Drosophila melanogaster: one gene and its partner. The protein of the gene in region 1 purifies or fractionates together with the protein of each later gene. This does not show direct contact. Each region holds a gene or a part of one and is shown in the gene's direction. Other genes may lie near its edges. The genes, in order: Ufd1 and CG12321.

Evidence for each region.
Region 2: the proteins of Ufd1 (region 1) and CG12321 purify together in Drosophila melanogaster (affinity purification with mass spectrometry, with the first as the bait; one large-scale study listed by BioGRID). This does not show direct contact.

What each region holds. Positions count from the first base shown.
Region 1 is NT_037436.4:11,121,217-11,125,304, reverse strand, and holds Ufd1 (ubiquitin fusion-degradation 1-like), read left to right. Parts: upstream 1-2,088; 5' UTR 2,089-2,256; coding exon 2,257-2,383; intron 2,384-2,440; coding exon 2,441-3,264; 3' UTR 3,265-3,323; downstream 3,324-4,088. Other genes in the region: mRpL2 (mitochondrial ribosomal protein L2), read right to left, coding at 3,324-3,742, 3,899-4,088.
Region 2 is NT_033777.3:18,187,305-18,190,564, reverse strand, and holds CG12321 (uncharacterized protein), read left to right. Parts: upstream 1-1,857; 5' UTR 1,858-1,959; coding exon 1,960-2,703; 3' UTR 2,704-2,740; downstream 2,741-3,260. Other genes in the region: MED17 (mediator complex subunit 17), read right to left, coding at 1-1,275, 1,347-1,435; Arp5 (Actin-related protein 5), read right to left, coding at 2,741-3,260.

The sequences.
Region 1 (4,088 bases):
CAGGTGTTCTCACTTGCATGAATAGAATCTCGTTGAAAAGGGGACATTTCTTATAATTTCTGAACGGAAATCCAGAACTTTAGTTTGAGAGACACTTGACCAGGTGCCATCCGAGCGAAAGATGCATTGAATCGGAATGGGAATCGGTCCACTTTGCACTCACACTCACTCCGTGCGGCGCCGAGTGTGTACACGCTATGACCTTGCGGGGTTGCTGCCACCCACCGCCCACTTTGAACCCAAACCAACTCATTCATGACCCAGAGCAATCCAAAACGAAATCCACGCCGTGATATCACGTTGTGCTGAAAACAAAAAATGTATAATTTCTTTGCTTGACGTAAGCGCAAAGATCTGATGTTCGGAAATTACGAAAAACGAAATGTTTTTTTTTCTTCGAAATTCTGCAGCATGCGTATACACAGATTTTTGGGAATTTTGCTGCTTGTGTCGTTGGGCTATTTTAAAGTTTAAATGCTTATCGGAAAAGCTGCTCCATTTCGTTGGCTGTGCGCTTGTTAAATTTAGTTCCCAGACGCAAAAACTGTACGTACACAACAAGATGCCGGAGTTTTTCTTCTACCCTTAGTACTTTGCTCATCACAGTGCGACTTGGCTATAAACGATTGTATTCTAATTTGAATTTTCAAAAGAGCAGGCGATTTCATTTCACAATATTTCTTTAGCTTTGCAAAGCGTAAGCAAGTGTCATGATAACGAAAAGTGGATTTTCCCAGAAATATTTATAAATAATTTTGATAAGTTTACACAGAAAGTAAACTAAGTTTTTAGCGGAAGTGCAATATAAACAACATTTTGATTCTCGAAAAGAGGTTATCTTTAAAATCAAAAACAGAAATCGTTGTGAGTCCACTTATAAGTAAAAACTTTTGGAAACTGGAATATGTTGGGCCATAGAGCGCTTATTAAATGAATTTACAAAAATTTGCAAGGATGCAACTGACGCCTTAAGTTAGGCTTCATTATTTGAAGCCAGCTTGTGAGTCACTGGAATTTCATATTCTCTCGATTTTAATACGTTTTACATGACAAAGACAAAAGATGGGTAAATTTCACAATAGAGGGGGGTGGGGCTCTTTGTTGTGGGGAAGTTAGGGCGAGAGCGAAAGAAAGGCGAAGAAAGTGGGGAGCATGATGGCGAGGGGAGTGTCTGGAAGCTGCCAGAAGAGACAAGAGAGCGGGAGAGTGCGCATCCTCTCGCTCTTTTCACCTTCTGTTCGGTGTTTCTGTTGTTGTTCTTGTTTTTGGTGTGGCTGCAGCTGCGAAGCAACAATAACAACCACAACAGAGACTCGAAAACAGCTGCACACGAAAACGGTGGCTGTCAAACTGTTTTGCAAAATTTAAAATGTAACTGTACTTGGCAAAAACAATACATTTTGCTGTATTTCTGTATGTCGTAAAAGATCTTTCGACCTGGAAGCTGGAGAACACTTTTTCCAGCCACTTGGCCACCACCCCGCCTTTGAACAAACCAACCAATCGATTGGCCAGCTTATTGATTTTTCTATTCGAACATTTTGCATTTGTTGCTCGTTTCGGTCTTTTGCTTAGTGTGTTTGGTTCGAAAAAAGTATTGGCAATCATGTGGGCATCGACATACACACTTTTTTTTTATCACACCCACGCGAAAAACACGCGGCGCCAGCCAGACTAAAAGGATACAGGCAGCATATCCTGCACACACACACACACACGCGCGCACAAAAAAGCTCGCCAGGATCGAGTGGTGCAGTTGACCAGCAAACCGCAGCTGCTGACAGCCAATTTTGAGTAGCGGAAACAGTTGGAGCTGCTGCCCCGAAATGGGTACTCACTTGATCAGCAGCACTTTTTCGAATCAATATACCCGTCTATTCAATTTTTTTTTAAGCGGGACGAAGTCGCGCGCAACCACCGGCTTGCTGGGTTTGTTAGAGATGTGCCGATAACTCGCCACTGCGATAGCTCGAGTTGCTACTTTTTGTTGTACGCCACGCGCTTGGGATTTTAGCGAAATATGCGTGCCACAACTTAGCTTGTGCCGCAACCCCACACAGTGCTGCCACCTGTGGGCGAAAAAGTTACGTCTACATGGTGTTCTGGTCACACTGCCCCCGCCGTGACAAACAAAATAGAAAAAAAAATAAAACAAAAGATAAAATTTTAGCCTCCCCCCTTTGAGAAATAAAGGGTCATTTGAGGCAGTTTAAATCGAAAAGAATCCATAGGCACGGAGAGCCCAGCACACATAGAATGTTCCACTTCAGCGGCTTCAACATGATGTTCCCGGAGGGACGCAATTTTCATGCCAACTACAAGTGCTTCTCCGTATCCATGTTGCCAGGAAACGAGCGAACCGACGTGGAAAAGGGCGGAAAGAGTGAGTTACGAGTGTAGGCTGGACAGAAATTATGTGAACAACACATTCCATCCACAGTTATTATGCCTCCCTCGGCGCTGGACACGCTCACCCGCCTGAATGTCGAGTATCCAATGCTGTTCAAGCTGACCAACGTCAAGAAATCGCGATCCTCGCATGCCGGCGTACTCGAGTTTGTGGCCGACGAGGGCAAATGCTATCTACCCCACTGGATGATGGAAAACCTGCTGTTGGGTGAGGGCGACATACTCAACATCGAGAGTGTCTCGCTGCCGGTGGCCACCTTCTCAAAGTTTCAACCGCACAGCACCGACTTCCTGGACATCACCAATCCCAAGGCGGTGCTGGAGAATGCATTGCGCAACTTTGCCTGCCTCACCAGGGGCGATGTCATAGCCATTAAGTACAACAAGAAGGTCTACGAACTGTGTGTCCTGGAGACAAAGCCCGGCAATGCAGTCAGCATCATTGAGTGCGACATGAATGTGGAATTTGAGGCGCCAGTCGGCTACAAGGATCACTCCGAAACGCAGGCATCGGGCTCTGGGCAGCAGGGTGCTGCTGGAACTGTTGGCGGCGAAATCGCTGGAGCCACCAACGCCATACTCGAAGAGGTCGTGGAGACCTTCAAGGGTTCCGGCGTACGTCTCGATGGTAAGAAGAAGAAGGAAAGCCAGTTGGAAACGCCGGTCGTTAAGAAGGTGCTAGCCCGCGGCGTTCCAGACTATGATTTCCAGTTTGGACTCATCCGTTTCGATCGCAACATTCGGCCTATCAGTGATAGAAGCCAAGAAGATGATGCCGTAGCTGGCAATGCGGACGCTTCCGATGCGGAGAGCTTCCACGGCACCGGTTTCTCGATGAAGAAAACGCGCAAATAGCTCTGTATCTCTAGTTCTAGTTATATATTGTGTGACACATAGAAATTAAAGGAAAAACCTCACAGGGGCAGCGTCAACTTGATGGCCTCCTCCTTGGGCGGAGCCGGTGGCGATATGGTGGTCATGGGCGGCAATCGGCGTATCTTGCGTCCGTGTTTGCCTTCCTTGCGCTTCCACAGACCGGAACGTGGTCGATTGCCCATCTCCCGCATCCGCTGGGCACTGCCCACATGCTCCTTGTTGTGTTCCGGGTTGGACAGGCGACCAACCGTCGCCATGCAGGTGCGCTGGAAGGCGAACTCCCGCTTCGAGGGCAGCTGCACCACCACCTTTTCGTCGAACTTGCGCAGAATGGTGCCGAAGGTGCCGGCGGCATGGATCAGGTGGCACATCTGGCCGGGGTTCTTCTCCAGACAGTGAATGCGTGTGCCCACGGGCAAGGCGCCCAATGGATAGGCATCGCCTTCGTTGGGACGCACTATGGGATCATACAAAAAAAAAAAATTATATTGGCATAACTGGTTGTTTCAGAGCCAGTAAAATTTCTAGATTCCATGCTCAGTTTAAGACTATACTCAGAGGATTACTTAGAAAACGTTTAATACTCCCGATGAGTAACAGTAAGTAAATTTACCCGGAATCCTAGGAATAAAGCGCGAGGTCTTGAGGATATCGCCAGCCTTCATGTTCTCGGTGGCCAGGATGTACTTCAGCTCATCGCCGACGGCAACCAGGGCCACTTTGGCGGTGCGACAGCCATCGCGTAGCACCTCGAGTACCAGTTCCTCCTGGGCGCCCTCCGTGGGACCATCCCGCACCCATTT
Region 2 (3,260 bases), on another chromosome or scaffold:
TGCGACACTATCTGCGGGTCCTTCACATCCCTGGCCAGCGTATCGAGCACATATTGTGTTCGCTTTCGCATGAAAATGTGCTGCGCCTGGGCGATGATCTGTTCGAGTATGGTCTGTGACTTGGTCATGTCCAACAACGTTTCCCGATCGGCGGCCATCGGACCGGCTAGCATGCGCTTCTTAGTGGGTCCCAGTGGTGCACTGGCCGGATGGGGAAAGGGATGGTGTGAGTTCTTGTAGTGCACCTCGCGCAGAAGCTGATGCAGCGAGTGTTCCAGAACATGATCATGATCGTTAATTGGCGCCGGCTGGCTGGAATCGAAGGTGGTTGAGTGGCACAACGAGATAATAAGTTGAATGTTAGGCAGCAGAGTGGCGCGAATTTGGTTGCCGATGACCACATGTGGAATTGGTGCCTGCAATTGGATAGCTTCACGTGCCAACTGAGCGAATAGCTCCTTGCAGAAGAGCACATTCTGGGCGAACTCCAGTGTCTTCTGCCAGACACCCACCTGGGCAGTTATATTGGGTCCGTGACCCATCAGATTCAGCTGAGCGGTGCACAAATCCTCCTGATCCTTCTGTGTGATCACCTTTATGTAGGCGACACCCTGCAGTTCCGCTGGAACAATCACTCGCAATGCGGAGCTGGCCTTAAGTTGCATGCCATTGTTGCCGGATACGCTACTGCTACTGTTGGATGAGCTGGCTGTGTCCTCATCACCGGTCTCTTCTGCTTTGGTCACCTCGAAGGTACCGCTCATGCCAAACTTGGAGCCCGCGGTGCGGTAGCTGAGATCCCCGATAATCGCATTGGACACCTTCTTCAGGCGCCAGTTCTGTCGCAGGCGCAGTAGTTCTATGTGGAAATCTGAGACATTGCGATTGCGCTGCTCGCTGTGCGCGTTCCGCAGGCGTTCAGCGCCACTTAGGAGCACTTGGGCTGCCTGAGAGATGGCTTTCTTGCGGCTGTACACCTGCACAATGGGCTTGGTGTCGTCAGCCTCCTCGAGCAGTGGATCGAGCACTAAATAGCGCTTGTCCTTGGCAATGGAGATCACATCGGACAGCACACATATCTCCGTGAGCGCATCCTTCAGCTTGTTGCGCACCGCATCCCAGGGCCACAGGCTCTCTTGGAACTGAGTGGCGTCCTTGTCCTCGTCGGCGGCCGCTGCCGCCGACTTCTCCTCCTTCTTGAGGTCGTCCAGCGACGTCTTGCTGAAGTCTATGCGCGCCGCACATTTCGCCAGACTTTCCGACAAAGTCGGCGGCCTAAGGAGAAAAAAACAAAGAACCCAATAAATCATTGAGAAGAGGGCTTGCTGGCTAGCGGAAACACATACGGCTGATACAATTCGGTGCCATCGTAGCCAATCTCACGTATCTGGTTCTCGCAAGTCGTTTCCACTGATATATTCACGGAATTCGACATATTTGCGCCGGGAAACAAAACATTTGGTTTGTCAAAGCAAAACTAAAGAATAGTGCTGCAAAACGTCTGCGGCCGGCTATCGATAAATGAGTGCTCAAAAACAACACTTTTTTCCAGGTTAGTAACGAATGTAATGTATAAAATATTGATATTTAAAAATGTTTAATATTTAATTAATATGTGTTATAAAATTACTTTCTTGCTTTAAATTAAGTTTTATTTATTTAAGACAAAACTTTGAAATTTAATGGCTTGGCCACGTGCTTATATTCATTTATATGCGAAGTATAAGTAGGCAGCAGTCAAAAAAATGTCCTTAAATGTAAATAAAATTTGTTTACCTTAAACAACGAAGTTATCTCTTTTGATTTTTGAACCGCACTTTTATTAAGCTCCTTGCCAGAGTTGCCACCCAGTGTCAATTGGTAAACACACCAACACTGGAATCATTACTTTCATATTTTTGACTTGACTTGAATTAGCATCTTCAACTCATTCCGGACACCAAGAGATTTAACCCAATTATGCTGTTTCTAAAGGACAAGCGTACCACTCTGGACGTAGCAGAGCACACAGTAATCATACCGAGCATTTGCGTGGGAAACGCGGCGCAGCTGGCCTGTGACCTGTTGATTGCGTCCAAGGAACTCCGGCGAATTGGATCCATCACACATCCAGCCCTGATTCCGGTCTACGGACCCTCCGCCTATCAGCACGAGCCCAAAGAGAAGGTCTCCTCCTGCGAACTGTACGAGGGTACGGAGGATAAGCTACTGGTCGTGCAATTCCGGGCGCCATGGGTTGCCCGCCACACCGCGCATTTTCAGAAGGAACTAGTGGAGCTCCTCAAGGGCGCCAGACGCGTAGTCATTCTAAGCGGCAGTTTCGGCTTCGAGAAACGAGTCATTGAGGAGTCGCCATGGGCATACCGCGCCAGCGAAAACTTCAAGGAAGCGCATGCTGCCCAGCTGGGCAATGAGGAGCTGATCAAGTGGAAGGAGCACAAGGGCGATGCCATCTATGGCGGCGGCAATGCCTTGCAGTTGTTTAAAGCCTTCGATGAGCAGAAGGTGCCCGTCATGCTGTTATTCCGCTATCTCCTCGAGGGCGACAACTCCACCGATGCATCTCTAATCGTCCGGGAACTGAACGAACTCTGCGAAGACTTCCTTCAGCTGCGCAACGGAGGCGATGGCAGTTTTAAGCTCACCGTGCCCAAGTCCTGGAACCTACTATTCGGCAATGATGTTACGGAACTTCTTTTTTAAGCGTCTACATGTATTTTTCGGTGCTTTCAAATAAATGTTAATCTTTTGGTGTAGGATAAAAGATATTGCTAGCTGTGTGCTCCCGAAAGAACTCTCTGCCATGCTCCTGGTGGTCCTGACGCGTGGTCAGCGTCTGACCGAAGGTGGGCTCTCCTGCGTGCACACATGCTCCCAGCCAGGCGCTTAAAGTTGGCTCATCCGACTCGTAGATGGCGAACTTTGATTGAAACGGTCGCATTTCCATGAGCTCCTTGATTAGTCGCTCCTTGAGACCCTTGAATTGGGCACAACCGCCGGTTAGGTACACGTGCTCAACCAGGCGCTGCTGCTCAGCGGCGGGAAATAGCTTCAGCACGAATGCTATTAGTTCTGCTAGCCCCGCCTCTGAGCAACCAATCATGCTGGGCTGGAATAGAACCTCCGGCACGCGAATGTTCTCAACCCCAAAGTGCAGCTGGTAGTTCTCGGCGGCACTCTGTGGCGGAACATTGGAGTTGCCATCGGTGTTGGCATCATAGTGATTTAGGATCTTATCGAACTGCATCAACTTTTCGTTA